2 linked regions of the Nothobranchius furzeri genome follow. The protein of the gene in region 1 purifies or fractionates together with the protein of each later gene. This does not show direct contact. Links are inferred from orthologs where the notes say so. Each region holds a gene or a part of one and is shown in the gene's direction. Other genes may lie near its edges.

Region 1 (8,235 bases):
CGAGCTTTCCTGCTTATAAAAATAAGGTTGCCACCAACGATCAGTTTAGTAGTCGACTAATTGCCACATTTTGGGCGATTAGTCGACTAATCGTGTCATGCATGAATTCTGGGGTGAACTGCTTGGTCGTTTCTTTGAAACCTTGGTCGCCGACCAACATGTTCAAAATGGCCTCGGTCAGGACGTTTGCTTGTCGAAGTGCATACGGTTGGCTTTGATGCAAAGTCACCCAATAAAGAGAGCTCTGTAATGTAGCGGGACGCAATAAATCATTAGCATTTGTAACGTTGGAGCAAAGCGTGACAAATGTGTGCTAAAGGTAATTAAATCTGCAATGTCTTCTATTCTAAAGATGAGTATTAAATAGCTGCATCATGTGATCATTGTCACATCTGGGTAGTCGGGTTCCCTCTAAAGTCTGGTTGTACTGAAGGTGGAGGATGTGTTAATTTGACTTGCTGCTAGTCTTTCTGCACACTTTGACTTTTGTCTTGTGCTTTCATCACTTCCTCCTTGCTGAATCCATCATTTAGCTAAATGACTGAAGCCTTTTTTGGGAACAAACATCTCCTCCACCAAATCTACGACCACTCGCACTTGTACCCATAGCCTGCAGTTCGCCGTGGCTGCCCGCGGAGCGCTGCAGCACTGAGCAGAATGCTGCTACGAGCAGCCACGAATGGCGAAAAACCACAGCCCATGATTAGAAACCGACACAAAACCATGAGCTACACGCAGCCTGCCGCTTCCGTATTTGAATCTATGTCCATTTCCTTATTTTTCCCTCCTGGTTAAAGACTAGATGGGGTGGAGTCACGTGACTTAACGTGACTAGCTGTGACGCGGACTCGACTGGTCTGCGTCACAGCGCCTTAAAGAGACATGGACATCAGTAACCTACTCACGTAATGGTACATGTTCGGTTTACTGACCAGCCCGAGTCTTGTTACAAAAGCAAACATCTGAAATGGGGTTCGTTGTTGTAACTGATACTATGGAGAAGACCAACAGTGGAGGGTTGGTGTCCAAGAGTCACACCTCTGACATAATTGGTGTTTACTAGGAAATGCTGAAAGGAAGCACAGTGTAATGACTATTTAAAGCAGCGAGGGACTTTTGGGTGGGGGAATACTATTGTGTCGGCCCCTGAAAACACACACACACACACACACACACACACACACACACACTACACAAAACGACCAACTGCCTGCCTTCGTCCTATGGCCGTCTGTCTGCTGCCCTTCACTGAGGGTCACGGCTGGATGGAGACGTAGAAAGGGAAGTCTGTTTATGTGTCCTTTTCCTGGTCAGAGGGCACCCACACACGTGCATGTGTTTGTACACCGATTGGTGCACCCTTTACATGTTGGTTGTGAGTGTGTAGATACACTAACACCACACTTAAAACAATGTAAGGAGGCATTTCTGTTTGTTTGTGTATCGAGACACACACCGCTCATCATCTCCGCCGTACTGAGGGGCCGAGCACAGCGGCCAACCCAGCACCATTTGCTGGTGTTTTCCGCTCGAGTGCGTAGACTTCTTTGACTCACACACCAGCTGGTCAGCCACTGAATGAAGCTGTGGGCCCGAGTCCATGTCATTTGTGAGGTCTTGGAGGGGGGTTGCGGTGGTTGGGGGACTTATCTGGTTTCTAGAAGACATCATCATTTTAACCCTCGTTCTACTCATCACCTCCTACTCACTAAGTGGATTATGGTAGAAGTGTGAATCAAACACTCTGTCAGACTTTATTAGATCAAGACTAAGCGAGAACTCTGCTCAAGCTACCTAGCCCCAAATTCTTTGTAACTTATTTGTTCGCAGGTGTGAGACCTGTTTGAGAATATTCCGGTTTGAAAAGAACAAGTCTAAGCTGGTTTCAGAACAGTTCGTTCCTTCTCCCAACAGTTTACTTTTGCCAGCATGACATGGATAATTTGTTGTCGGAGGTCAGTCTTTGGGCACATACAGAAAGAAAGCGCCAATTAACTAAAGCAAGACATCTGCTTAGTAACAGAGATCTGTGCTGTACAAAGCAGGCGCCTGTTCGTGTGTGTGTGTGTGTGTGTGTGTGTGTGTGTGTGTGTGTGTGTGTGTGTGTGTGTGTGTGTGTGTGTGTGTGTATCAAACATCTGCCACAGGCCTCCTCTCATTAACTTCTTCTATGCTAAGCTGACTTTGACACTCAGCTCCTTGCTGCAGGTTCCTGTCATTCATGTCTTTTGTCATAGAGTTGAATGATAAAACTGAATTGTTGTGGGGATTTGAAAAAGCCATCTGTCACAGCGAATCACATTCAACATATAAAATGCATTTCAAAAGTTTCATATAGCTACAAACATTTGGCCGATTCACATTCACCATATTACAAACTTTTATCAAATACGCATTTATCAGAGCTGTGGAATCGAGTCACATGACTTTGGACTCGAGTCAGACTCGAGTTATTTTAATGACTTTTGACTTGATCTGATAAAATCTATAAAGACGTACGACTTGACTCGGACTTGAACGCCAATGACTTGTGACTTAAATCAACTTGCATTTGTTGGAATTGTTGATGACTTGAGCATTTTTGATATTTTAGCACAAAATTGGCACAACATGGACAAAAATCATGAATCATTCATCGTTCTGGGTTTGATCTTGTTCTGCTAAATGCAGCAGCACTTTGTTTATAATCAGTTTCAGCTGCACTTTCTGCTTGTTTGAGCAAAAAAATGAAGCTTTAAGAAGCTTTATTTCTGAAATGTATTTATTATCTGTAGCCACATTTACATGCGCACAATTAATTGGATTGAACACCCAATCAGATCAAAAATTCTGCATGTAAACATGTCAGTGGGAATGTTCTGATCCGATTCGTCCCGATCGGAATGAATTTTCAATCCTATTGAGAGAGGTGATTTTGTCCAATCATCATCCCGATTGATGTACACCACCATTCGGTTTGTTGAAATAATGCCCACTGTGCATGTGTGCAACAGCTAGTGAGCCTCCCCATCATCATTTGGACTGCCTGACTTAAAAAATGACGGCCTAATTAACGAATGCCGGCTTTTAAATATGATGGCAAACCGTCCCCGTTTCTGTAATATCTGATCCAGAAATTGCATTTTGTGGAAGAAAAATAAAAATCTGATTATTGCACAAATCATTCGGTAAACATATTCAAGTCTGTACTGAAAATATACAGATTCATTTTGGGTTTGCAGCACGGATCCCCGTTTCTGTGAACGCAGCAGCTGTTTCTGCCGCAGGTGGATGGAGATGTGCTGTAAAGAAGACAGGGTAACATCGGTTACACAGACCTGGTTTGAGTTTAAGGAGAATGATGTTGGGTAGAAAAACATCCTCAGTTAAATATTCTGGGCAACTATCTGTGTAAAATTACGTTAACGCAGATGAGAAGAGATGCGGTTCGTTTAACACATGATGAACACAGGCTTCCAGACTTTCTGAACATCTCCTGCTATTTAGTTTAAACCAACTTTTCTCAGCAGTTTCAGCTGACTGTCACATTTTATTAATAATAAGCCACAACAGAGCTCAGTAATAAAACGAGTCTGACACCCCACCCCCCCGCTCCATGCAGCGCTGCGCCAAGCCGTCATGTCAGACCCACGGACCAGCTGATCAAGAGGAAGAGACAAGGATAACCCTCCTTTATTTTAATATTATTAATAATGAAACGCAGTAAAGTATATATCTGCAGTTAAAGCATAACTTCTATGAGAAAAATAAATACATTAAATTGATTAAATGAATCAGCAAATCAGAAAAAATGGTTTATTTCTGTTTTTACATTTTAATTTCTTCATGATGTTTGTTTACACATTTTTTTTTCCAGGAAAGAAATTTCTGCGCATGCTGATTGAATACTTGGTGCATTTAAACTCAAAGCATGATCGGATCATTTCAGTTAGTGTGCATTTGAACAGAGGTTTGGGATTTCCGATCAACCAAGATTTGAATCGGACTGGGGAAATATGGCACATGTAAACGTGTCTAGTGTCATTAAATTGAAGTCGGACAAATGACTTGATTAGGACTTGAAAATTCAAAGTTAAGGACTTTGGACTCGACTTGGACTTGGTTATCTTTGACTTGGACTTGACTCTAGACTTAACAGGACTTACTTGTGACTTGCAAAGCAGTGACTTGGTCACACCTCTGGTATTTATCTCCTGTTGTGCTTCTGGTTCTGACATCCTTGTGATGATCCTATAAATCCTCTGATCTCTCCATATTCGCTTCCAGGATATGATGTTCCAGCTTCTTCAGGGTTTGGACTTCCTGCATTCACACCGCGTGGTTCACCGGGACCTGAAACCCCAAAACATTCTGGTCACCAGCGGAGGACAGATCAAACTGGCCGACTTCGGGCTGGCACGCATCTACAGCTTTCAGATGGCGCTTACGTCTGTGGTGAGTCCTGACACCTTTGAGGTTTTGCATCTGCCATACACCCAACACTGACCACTTAGCTTTCAGCCCTTCAATTGTTATGTTTTAAATATATACCTGTCTAACGGTTGTTGTTTATTTCTGTGACTAATATATGCAGGTATGTGGTGTCGTTAAAAAAACACAACTGCAAACTATTCTGATGTGCTATGGCAGGCTCACAATGTGTCGTTTTAATCTCTAGAAATAGCCATTGAAATGTTGTTGAAATTGATTGAAATAATACCCAGTTATAAAATTCAATTTCAATTCAGTTTATGTATATGCTTCAAATCACGACAAGAGTCGTCTCAAGGCACTTCACGAAGTAAACATTCCATTACAGGTCAGTTCATTAAGCCAATCAGTAAAAAGTTTCCTACATAAGGAACCCAGCAGGTTGCATCAAGTCACTGACTAGTGTCAGAGTCTTTACAGCAATCCTCATACTAAGCAAGCATGTAGCGACTGTGGAGAGGAAAACTCCCTTTTAACAGGAAGAAACCTCCAGAAGATCCTGACTCAGTGTAAGCAGCCATCCACCACGACTCACTGGGGATCAAGAAGACAGAGCGCGTGTGCACACACACACACACACACACACACACACACACACACACACACACACACACACACATACACACAACATATATGCTAACAAGTGTTTCTTTTGCTACATTGTAGGGCTGGGCGATATAGCCCAATTTCAATATCACGATATATTGAGGATTTCACTTCTAACGATAAATGGACGATAACTACAGGTATGCGCAGAGACAAAAGTTGTCCACTAGATGGGGCTGTCACATGTATTACGTTGAGTCACATTTTTACGTGACTTAAGGTGGTACAGCTTCTTAAAGGAACATGAACATTGCCAACCTACACACATCTTTTCATTTTTTAATTATCAAATGTATCGACATGGGAAAAATCATCTCGATAAGAGTCACATATTTTGATTGTGAAAAGCTGCATTGTAATTACTTAGTAGATATTCTTTTTATTAAGAAATAAACTTTATTGTCTATCTTAGTGAATCTATAATTAATTCAACAGGTAAACTAGTAGTAGCACATTCCATGTCAAAGAAAGTAAAATGTTAAAATCAGGAGAGCGAGAATGTTTTTAGCAGCAGTGTGCTAGCCGATGGCCCCCTCCATGAGGCTATCACAGTTCAGCAGAACTCCATTGTAGCTTCTTCTGGGGAGAGAAACACTTAGAGAGAAAGTAAAGTTAACAGCTGAAAGTATGTCCTCCAGCTGTCTTAGCCTATAGCAGTATAACTACAGAGATAACTCTGGATAACCTAGCCTTTTAGATGGAGGCATGTTGGAGGCACAGAGGTAGCCTGGCTAGCCAGAGCATGGGGCTGGCTACTGGAACTCTCCTATTCAAATAACCCCACCCCCTGAGAATTCTAGCCGAGCCAATCAGCGCTGAGCAACATACGTCTCACACCACGACGCTGAATTTTTCGTAAGCGTGGCAACTGGAGGGGAGTTCGTTGCGGCTCTTTTCCTCTGTTCTAAATTACTTCAACACATCTTTAAAACCACAACAAGAAGAAGCTAAAAGCCTTTCTTCTAAAGAAAGATGTTTGCACTGTCGCAAGATGCCATTTTTGACTACAGCTAAAAAACTACAGCGTCGCGCGGTACCGTCAGCATCTCTGTCCTTATTCTGAGTGGTTATTTTTGAGCTGGCTAGTCCCACCCCTCATGTGCCTCTCTGCCTGTGAGTAACCAGAATAGTTCTCTGTGTAGAACAGAGGATGAGTCTGGCAGTCCAGGCTAGCAGGGAGGAGGGGTTGAGAAAACTTGGCGGCTTCATAAAATATAACAATAAAAAAGGTCTAAAATACATGGTAGCGGGTTTATGTCACTGGGCGACACCATATTAGATGCCATGTTTCCTTCTACAGAAGCCCATGAGGACAAAATGCATTTACTGGTTTGTAACAAATGGCTACAAAACTTTCACCATTCGTTGGTTTACACATTTACCTCTTCACTCATTGCCAGTGATGTGCTTGTCTTGTTGCTGGAGTTTGTGCTTGCGGGGATTTTTGACCCTACTGAGCATCTGTTGGTAAGGTCTTACTCCAACTCAAAAACACAGCATGCTTGCAACAATTTAGGTATGTACTGCCCCCTATCGCCAGGGAAGTACACACCATCCCTTTACTGAGATGTTTAAAGTTTTAGTTTCACCAGAACTTCGTGACACCATATTTTTTTATTGGAAGCATTTGATTACATTTCTATATGTATTTTAAATTTTCACTGCCTGTAACATTTATGTATTTTATTTTAATGTCCATCCATCCACCCATCCATTTTCATCCGCTTATCCAGAGTCGGGTCGCGGGGGCAGTAGCCTAAGGCGAGAGGCCCAGACTTCCCTCTCCCCAGCCACTTGGGCCAGCTCCTCCGGGAGAATCCCAAGGCGTTCCCTGGCCAGGTGAGACACATAGTCCCTCCACCGTGTCCTGGGTCCGCCTTCAGGTCTCCTTCCGGTTGGACGTGCCCGGAAAACCTCACCAGGGAGGAGTCCAGGAGGCATCCTGACCAGATGCCCGAGCCACCTCAAATGGCTCCTCTCGATGTGGAGGAGCAGCGGGTCTACTCCGAGCCCCTCCCGAATGACCAAGCCTCTCACCCTATCTCTAAGGGAGAGCCCAGCCACTCTTCGGAGAAAACTCATTTCGGCCGCTTGTATCTGTGATCTCGTTCTTTCGGTCACTACCCAAAGCTCATGACCATAGGTGAGGGTAGGAACGTAGATCGACTGGTAAATCGAGAGCTTTGCCTTCTGACTCAGCTCTCTCTTCACCATGACATCACTGCAGATGCAGCACCAATCCGCCTATTGATCTCATACTCCAGTTTTCCCTTACTCGTGAACAAGACCCTAAGATACTTAAACTCCTCCACTTGGGGCAGGACCTCATCCCTGACCCAGAGAAGGCATTCTACCCTTTTCCGAATCAAGACCATGGTCTCAGATTTAGAGGAGCTGATTCTCATAGAGAAGAGCTGAAAGGAAGCGTTGGAATAAAGAGGCATGAAACTTTTACAATCATATGCTCTCTACAACAGAGAAAATTATGCCTTGTTTTGCTTTTTAAAGTGGAGCTTTGTTTTAGGTTCTGTAAGAGTAGACAGTATCTTACCTACAGCAGACACTGGTCAGAATGATCCATTTGGAGAATCAACCCTTTATGACAGATGGAAGTGCCGGCAATCCCATTTGCATATCTGTGTTCAAATGCTTGTAGAACTGTAACTAAATAAGATGGAACAAAAAATATTTTTTGCATATTAAACAGGAGGAGTTACGCTTATATCTCACACACTAAACACGTCCCTGAGCGCTGCGCATTTCCGCTAATGAGTTTGCAAGAAAAAAACCAAAATGCACAAATAAGAAAAGCATTTTCATTCAGACACAGATACTGTGAAGCCCTATGATCTGCAGCTCATAGGGCTTCACAGGCTAGAATAAACGTCATCACGTTGTCTACGTGAACTGTCACATGGTTATCACTCACCCAATCACCTGCTTTGACGTCCTTTTCCCACGAAGTTTACTGTTTTGTAGTTCTTTGTAGTCCCAGTCTTTAGGCTTTTTCTTGTGCTTTTTTGCAATAATACGTTTAGACAACCACATCCTACACACATCACACACCCACTACAGACTCCCGACACACACACACCACTATGAATGTTTTGATGAATCACGGACCCGCCAAACGGTGCATGCTCCCTCCTCGAAGTGGTT
Region 2 (8,611 bases), on another chromosome or scaffold:
TGTTCGGCAGCCTCGCCTCTGTCAGTAGCTCATCCCCACCAGTGTGTGTATGGGTGAATGACTGTGTTGTAAAGCGCCTTGGGGGGTTCCAGGACTCTAGAAGGCGCTACATCACATACAGGCCATTTACCATTTACTATAACAGACTCAGCTAAACAGCAAAGTCACAAAAAGTGATCCGCATTATTGTAGGCCTGGGCAATAAATTGATTTAATGGATTAATTCAAATTTTTTGTTGCGGGCGATTAAAAATAAAATGAAAATAAGTTAATCGAATTTTTATGTAGTAGCGCCTTTTAGTTTCCATAGCATTAATTTCACATAACCGTGACAACGTCACAGCACGCACATGAAACGGCAACAGCAAGCGACTCCATGGCCACCGGTGAGAGTGGGAAGTTTGTCCTTAAGTAAGGAATTAAATCATCCGTTGTTTGGAACTGGTTTGGGTTTGCTGCGACGGACGTGGCACTTTTATTCCAAGAGGGTGTTCATTTATTCATTATTCATCTCAGAAATGAGGGTTACATTTGTCTTGCTTGTGATTAAATAAAAACAAAATTGCCTTCCATTTGTACTTATTGCTAATCTTAATTGAGAGGGAGAGAGAATCGGGGGGAAAAATCGTAAATCCAAAAAAATAAAAAAAATCAATTTTATTTTTAGGCCGTATCGCCCAGCCCTACGTCATAGTCACTAACCGGGGCTGGCGCTTTAGCTGCATCAACTCCGACACGTTTTGGTCTCAGATGTTCGTTAAGAGAAGTCGTTCTTCTGTGCCATGCCAAATAATTTTTTTCTGTATCTTGCGGGTCACCCGTAGGGATGGGTACCGAATTCGGTACTTTTTAAGGTACCGACCGAATTCCACAGTACCGACTGAGCACCGATTCACTTCATTTGAAACAGTGCCTCGTTTCGGTACCCGTCCTTCACAACGAGAACTTGCCTGGACAGCTGCGCATGCGCAAGAGCGTTATGTCATCGGTCGCTGCGGGCGAGTTGTAAACAGAGCAGCATGGTAGACAGAACACACGCTAAAGCTTGGGTCCACTTCACTAAATGTGATGGGTAACTGGGTGATGATGAAACCAGCGACAACGATCTAAGTGAGACATCCTCATCTTAATATGCTCCGGTAGGTAAATAAAATGTTTAAGATAACGTTAGCTTGATTTGTTAGCTTCCGTTTCACTAATGGTGCGTTCGCTTTCTCCTCGGAACTCAGAAATTCCGACTAGAAGAACATGAACACGCACTAAATTTTGGCTTCACTTTACTAAATGCGACGGGTGATTGGGTGAAGACGAAACCAGCGACAACGATCTAAGTGTGAGGCATCATCGTTTTAATCTGCTCCAGCAGCTAAATAAACTGTTTAAGATAACGTTAGCTTGATATGTTAGCTTCCTATGCCACCATTGTTATCATCTAATGGTGCGTTCGCTTTCTCCTCAGAAATTCTAACTTCCCAGTAGGAAAAATCAATTGAAAAAGAGACTGTAAAAGGAATGAAGATACACAGTAAATTTAGTTCACAGCAAAGATGTTTGCTTCAGTTTAATTATCAACTTTTAAAACTACAAGGACGATGTTAATACAAACAGTTTAATGTTATTTATCGTGATATTTATCAAATATTGTTATATATTGAGAAAAATATATATTTAATTATAAAAGAGAATTAAAAATATTAAACACTCAAAAGTATCGAATATTGGTACCGTTAAGTACCGGTATCGATTCTTAGGTACCGGGAATTAGTACCGGATCGATTCAAATGTCAAAGGTACCCATCCCTAGTCACCCGTCTTTTCACGACTTCTAGAGTGAAGTGCTCCCATACGCTTGATGTTTTTGTTTGGGTATTTTCCTCAGTTTTATAGTTTGTTATTTTTTCTGTACTTTTTGTTGCTCCGCCATCCTCGGTGTGAGCATGCACATCAGCGATGTGCGTGGTACGTCATGAAAAACAAGTGTACCTATTGGCTGATTTCTTCTTCTACTGCTCCACTGGTAGGTCAGTGGCTCACTCGCTGCAAATTTAACAGATTGTAATGGATGTGACAAATTGTGTTAAAAATAGGCCGCTTACGGTAAAATGTGATTATAAATCAATGACAAAAAATGTTGTCAACTATTTCAATAATCGATTAAATCGATTAGTTGTTTCAGCTCTAGTGCTATAGCAAATCTGTAAAACAAATTAGCTTAAAACAGTCTTTCATGCCTCTTAAATACATTCTAACGTGGTACAGCTAAAAATATATTGTGGAGATTAAAAAACAACAAAAAAAATGAATAAAGTAGTTCTCTCCCGTTTGTCTGAAAACTTCCGCCAATAACACATTGTTGTTCTCACCAAACCGCCGCACTTCTCAGTGTCCTCCATTCATTACACACTCATATTTCAGCAACAGAACAGCACTGGTGTGAGAGGTCCTCTGCTCAATTATATCAGAGGAGAAACAGTCGGCTGCTACCACTTCAACTTGAGGACAAACTACCCGAGTCCCAAAAAGAAAAACACAGTTTGAAGTCAGACAACAAAAGATGTTTGGACCTAGAAAACAGCAACTGGTTTTTAGCACGCTCTCGTTTCCTGTGGCAACACGGGATTCTGGTTCTGGTGGACGTGAACCCAGTGAAGATACCCGAGGGGAACGTTGAGTGTTCCGTGACCGTGTTTGCATTCAAAACCTTGTTCTGTAGATTTGCTATAGCAGCTTTAACTCTAGGAATTTCAAAGCAGCGGTCTTTGTTTTCCACAAGGTCATTCTCCTTTAACCCAGAGTCTTAATCATACATGTTTATGTTGGCAGGTATCGGATGGTTTCAGAGGGGGCAATCTCGATTAACCACAAACGGGCTGACCATCCAGAGCAGGTGCTGATCCCCAAAGTCCACATCCTGACTAATGGACTCACGCTGCTCAAAGTAGGAAAAAGGAATTTCTACATCATCAAGTGGCTCGGCCTCTGACACTCCCTGATTGAGAATGAAGGCACTAAACTAAACTGTAATGACTGATGACGAAGGTAGGCAGCAATACTTTGGCAGTCAGTGAGAAGATTTTGATGGACTTTTACTTTATAAGTATTTGTTTTTATGGACATATAAATATGTAAATGCATAGCTGTGATGCTTATTTAAAAGTGTGGTATTAAAGTATTTGATAAGATTGGTTTCTTGCTGATTTTGTGCTGCAATAGTTTAGTCAAGTGAACACAAGATGGCGCTATTGTTTTAATGGCTGGCTGTAGCCGGCCTCATCTGCACCACTTATCCTGCTGTGACCCTTTTAAGTAAACATTTTTTCCAGTAAAAGTACATTGCATCATTTCTCACAAAACAGTTTAAACACTGCACTTTTATTTTGGAACATGAGGCCAAAATCAGCCTTACGTCTGGTGTTTTATTTTCTGTCAGTTTGTGTAAAAAGTAACAAAAGGAGAAAAAAGGTTTTCATGCAGTCATTGACAAAAAGAAACTACCTTAAATTATTTGTATTATATATATATAATGATGTAATTCTCTCTTTTGGGAGTGCATGCTGACTTTTATGTGAAATTGTGAATTTTTTCAGCTGCGATGTAAAAACCAATGCTCGACCCACGGCAGGTTTGATTTCTGCAGGTTCTTGGCTTATTAGTTTTGTTTTACACTCCGTTGTAGTGTGTCTTTGGCATACGTGTGTTGCTTTATGATGCTGGATTTTTTTTTTAAATTTGGTAAATATTTGGTTAATACTTATATTTAGAATAAATCAACTATTAAAAACAGAGTAATGCACACTGAAGATGTTTAGAAAAATAATGGTTTTGACTCCTTTGCAAATTACCTGTAAATTTAGTATTTTTTTTAGATGTGTAACTATAAAGCTTGTGTGATGTAGTCATTTACACAAAAATACGTTTTCTATTTTTAAGAAGCATACATAAATATTTATTTTAGTAAAACGTGATGGAAAAATATGAGCCGACTTCCCCACTCATACACGCCTACTGTCACTTTAAATAAAGTAGGTGGGGCCAGGTGTCGCTTAACCAATGAGCGTCCTTTGCCGGGTTTAAATAGCTCTGTGTGTCAATCATAAGCCCCTCCCCCTCCCGTCTCAGTCCCCACCACTGCTCTGCTCCTCAATCGCCATATTGGGTGCTGAGGTTTCTCTGCAGTTTCTCTCTGAGCGGAGCGAAACTGACAGCGTCCTCAGTTCCTGTGCACTTTGTTTTGATGATTCTCGGAGACCATCTTCGACTCCAGAGCCCCGCAGCAGTTAACGTCTTCCACTTCGACGTATGCATGGCATAGGTGTAGAGCTGCGTCGGATCTTTCCCCCGTGACCTGGAGATACCGCTGTTGTTGTTTTTTATTTGTATTTTTTTTTCAGCGACGTGTTTTTCTTATGACAGCTGGACGCTCCCGGCTGACTGAAAATAGCGTGTTTATTGGGGGGAGGGGAAATGTCTAATGTTCGAGTTTCAAACGGGAGTCCGACGTTGGAGCGGACGGAGGCCCGGGTGTCGGAGCACCCGAAGCCGTCTGCCTGCAGAAGTCTGTTCGGCCCGGTGGATCACGAAGAGTTAAAGAAGGATTTTAACGAACACATGCGGGAGTTCAAAGAGGCTGCCGCTGCCAAGTGGGGCTTCGACTTCGCCAGTGACACGCCACTGAGCAACGGCAGGTTCAAATGGGAACTAGTGGATTCCGAGGAGATGCCGGACTTCTACCACCGGCAGCCGCGGAGGGAGAAGGGCGTCTGCCCCAGGAGCACCAGTGTGGATCTAAACGGGAACCATAACTGCGTCCTGGTGGCGTCGAGCGGGGATACCAGCAAGCCCGACGGTCAAACGGAGTGCACCGGGCTGAGGAAGAGACCTGCTAGTCACGGTACTACATTTGCATCTAATCAGGTTTTAGAGCCGGAGCTCGGCTTTCACCCGACAGGAAGCACATCTATAACCCTCTTCTTGTGTTTTTGCTCCGAGTTTCCCTGACAGAATTTCTTTGCTGTTCGCAGAGCCTCCGACCCAAAACAAGAGGTCCCATACCAGCCCAGACGAGGTTAGCTGTCCGAACCTGAGCCACTCAGTAGAACACACACCCAGAAAGCCCAGTCCCAAGAGACAGACGTGAGCCCGAGAGAAAACGGTGAGGCTTAAACTCATCCGTATACAATAACCGCATGTAGCTTCTGTTCCTCAGCTGTGATCTGAGCCACAGCAGGTTATATAACACGTTCTCTCCACATATTATCGAGTAGCTTTAACGGTGCTGCACGCTTATTTTATCTTCAGTAAGTAAAATGCTGGACTCTAGTAACCATTTCAACATTTTATATTCATTTAATCACAATGAGATCAACTCTGCCGAGAGAAAAAGGCTTTAACGTCTCACTGCTGCAGCTTTTCTACTAAACTGTAAACAAGGGCTGAACAACAGTGTAGTAGTAACACGTCAGCAGCCACTGCCCTCGGAGCAGAGCAGAGAAGGGGCTGGTCTCTGAACACACACACGCACGCACGCACACACACACACACGCACGCACGCTGTCCCTGCAGGCAGAGGAGTGTGCTGAGGAGACCCGCAGGTCCGAATTCAAGTAAAGGGAGGAGGGATGGGCACGATGAGATCTTCCTCACAGTGGTTTAGGACCTGTTTAGGCTGCAGATGAGAACACTTACATCAATGTTTCTTTTTAGCACAGAAATTTGAACAATAACCGGGTGTGATTCAATATGAGGATGTTTTTCTGTTCAAAAGTAAATCCTTGAAAGATTTTATTATAAAATATGATGAAAGAACTGCACTAAAAGACAAAATAGCTGTTAGTTTCATAAGTGTGTGTGTGTGTGTGTGTGTGTGTGTGTGTGTAACAGGTCAGTTTAGCTTAACCTTGTTAGTCTTTTTAAAAATAGGAAACTGATAGGGGGTGCACACTTGAAATAAACAGTCTAGTTATGAAAAATAATTAAAGTGAAACTTTTTCCATGAATTGTTAAAAGATGATTTTTCAAAAATGTTAATACTAACCTTTTTTTTTTCTTATTTTTCCCACCTTCTCCACACAGTTCGAGCATTTTTTTTTTTGCGAGGGTGTTGTTTTTTATATGCATCTTTTATTTTATTTTTTTGGAGGCCTGACTGTTTGTTGGCTTTTTGGGGATGAGGATCTGCGCAGCATCAGAAACATATCGGCTCTTCTGAGGACTGAGGAGGACGCTGTTGAAGCACTGAATAGAAACACTAAAGTTGTGGCACTCAATTAAAAATAAGTTACTGCCTCTAACAGCAGTCGATGTAGCAGTGTGCAATTAGGTTTTATTTCCCTTTTTTGCTCGTTTTGTTACTACCTGTGTGTAAATAAATTAATAAAGATGGATATATATATATATAGGTATAAATATGTCTCCATGTGTAGCACATAAGGAACTTAATTCTAAATCCAATCCTTTTTGTAAAAAGTTGTGAATTTTCATTTGACTTGAAGAATTGCAGTGATGGTTTCCAAAATGCTGTTTTTTATTTTTATTTCCAGACTGTGTGACATTTGCCACTGTCCTTAATTGCTACACTTAAAAAGAAAAAATCATGGCTTCTCACCGTTTCTGTAGTGTTCCTTCACTCCGTCAGCTTCCTAATGCAGCAGTGAAGAATGGTACAAATGTAGCTCACGTATCGTAATTTAATTTGTTTTTTCATTTATTACAGCGCCTCCCTGCAAAGGGCTGGACTCGTCTAAACGACGAGGAGATGTAAAAATTCTGTTAAGATTTTCTGATATTTATTTTTTAATCGAGGTGCTTTTAGCATCAGAGTCCTGGAATATTATGAAACAATTTTTTTGAAGTTTTTCTGTGCGCCTCAGCTACGTTTTAATGTTCGAGTGTTTCCTTTGAGCTGTGAGGTACTCGGCTTTGAAGAACAAGAATCAACGTTTTGCTTTCCTTCTGCCCCTAAACCTTAATCTTCTAAAAGGAAAAAGTCTCGTGGTTTGTTTTTTAGTTTCCAGCCTCTTATTTGACTTCACAGGGAGCTTCTTTGTGATCACATGAATGCTTGTACTCACCCCGTCATTGTCAGCCTGCTGAGGATGCACCAGAAACATGCTCATTGCAGACAGGCTGTCTGTATATTTGTGTAAAATCTTTGCAATGTACCTTTGTACATAATTTGTTAAAAACAAAACAAACATGCAAAAAAACACTGAGAAATTATACTAACTTATTTATGTTAAGCCTTTTATGTAGGATATTAAAAGTGGGTTCTTGATTACGGTTATCCAAAGTGGCATTTGCTAAAATTTTTCTATTTTGCAAAAACATTTTATTTTGTAGGATTTTTTTTTTCTTTGTCAATGAGGTTGCAAACTGAGCCTGATAAATATTGGATGTTTTTTTTTTTTTTTTGTAATGTGATAAAATTGTGTTGCAATCAATTAAAAGAGAAAATTAAATCTGACTCTTAAGTTTTGTTTTAAAAAAGTAGAAATGACTAATGTGTGTAGAGATGTGTGTTTACCTTGTGCGTCTAGGAACGTGTTGGTGCTTTTAACAGCTGTGTGAGTTTGGAGCTGCCAGCAGCACCAGTCTAAGGCCAGATGATTGACACTGGGCTCATCCAGTGAAAATGGGAGGAATAAAAACAGACCACTGGGAGCAGCCAGTAACGTTCAGCAGCTCACTGGAAAAAAGGTTCAGAGTACTAGTGCACAGAAAATATCTTTGAATTTAGAGAGATAAAACACAATGTTAGCTTTTTTTTTTAGCTACAGTAGCAGGTGTGTGTGTGTGTGAGAAACAAGGGATTTGTGTAATGCCTTCAAATTTACACATTTAAAATATGTTTTTGCAAATGCCACATTTTTATGATTATTTTAATTAAAAGATTTACGATGAGAATTTCCATTCATTTTAACATGTTTAAATGAGATTAAATGTGTTTTACATATATATATATATATATATATATTAAACTTAAAAAAAAATTTGTTACATGTCGCATTTGATGATCCTGTTTATGGAAAGTTGTAATTATTTTTACAGTTTTTTTTCCACACAGAGCAGACAAGAGTTTGACCTCTTGTGACTTTAGCCTTCCGGACTCTCGGTTTCTGTCGCATCCCTTCGGCTGTAGAAATCCAAACTGATTTAGCTGCTGCAGAATTATTCTGCTTCCTTCTTGAGCCCCAAGCAGGAAGACACCTGCAGCGTATTTTAAAGCTGGGTGTGTGGGTGGAGATTGTCCAGTTTTGAAGTGTGCAGGTGGGCAACCTCAGCTCAGCCGCTCCACCCCCACCCCAAGCCCGACCCATTGTCCCTTTGTGTTGAAGGCCTTTTAAGGGGCTGGGGCAGGCTACTGTTGTGTCTGGGCTTCTGTGCTCAAACAAAGGAGCCGTCTACAAGCTCCGCCCCCAGCCCACAAGGCCACGGATTGACTGACTGACTGTAGGTGTAGACTATTGGGGATGGAGGGAGTCGGAAGCGCTGTCGGTTTCTAAAGTACTAAAATACCCAGATTAAATCAATATTATCTAGCTTGAACGAACAGCCCCTAGTTACCCCGTGCTAATTATTTTCTAATGAGCTTTCTAATGTTTACGGAGAGGAG

Evidence for each region.
Region 2: the proteins of cdk6 (region 1) and cdkn1bb purify together in Homo sapiens (affinity purification with western blotting; 8 studies listed by BioGRID and IntAct, counting the BioPlex papers as one, with this or other methods). This does not show direct contact. The link is inferred for Nothobranchius furzeri from reciprocal best matches to the Homo sapiens genes CDK6 and CDKN1B.

What each region holds. Positions count from the first base shown.
Region 1 is NC_091751.1:27,651,100-27,659,334, forward strand, and holds part of cdk6 (cyclin-dependent kinase 6), read left to right. Parts: intron 1-4,266; coding exon 4,267-4,434; intron 4,435-8,235. UniProt on the Homo sapiens protein: Serine/threonine-protein kinase involved in the control of the cell cycle and differentiation; promotes G1/S transition. Phosphorylates pRB/RB1 and NPM1.
Region 2 is NC_091744.1:57,769,199-57,777,809, forward strand, and holds cdkn1bb (cyclin dependent kinase inhibitor 1Bb), read left to right. Parts: upstream 1-4,198; 5' UTR 4,199-4,464; coding exon 4,465-4,891; intron 4,892-5,021; coding exon 5,022-5,137; 3' UTR 5,138-5,152; intron 5,153-6,072; 3' UTR 6,073-6,397; downstream 6,398-8,611. Other genes in the region: yars2 (tyrosine--tRNA ligase, mitochondrial), read left to right, coding at 2,824-2,983. UniProt on the Homo sapiens protein: Important regulator of cell cycle progression. Inhibits the kinase activity of CDK2 bound to cyclin A, but has little inhibitory activity on CDK2 bound to SPDYA. Involved in G1 arrest. Potent inhibitor of cyclin E- and cyclin A-CDK2 complexes.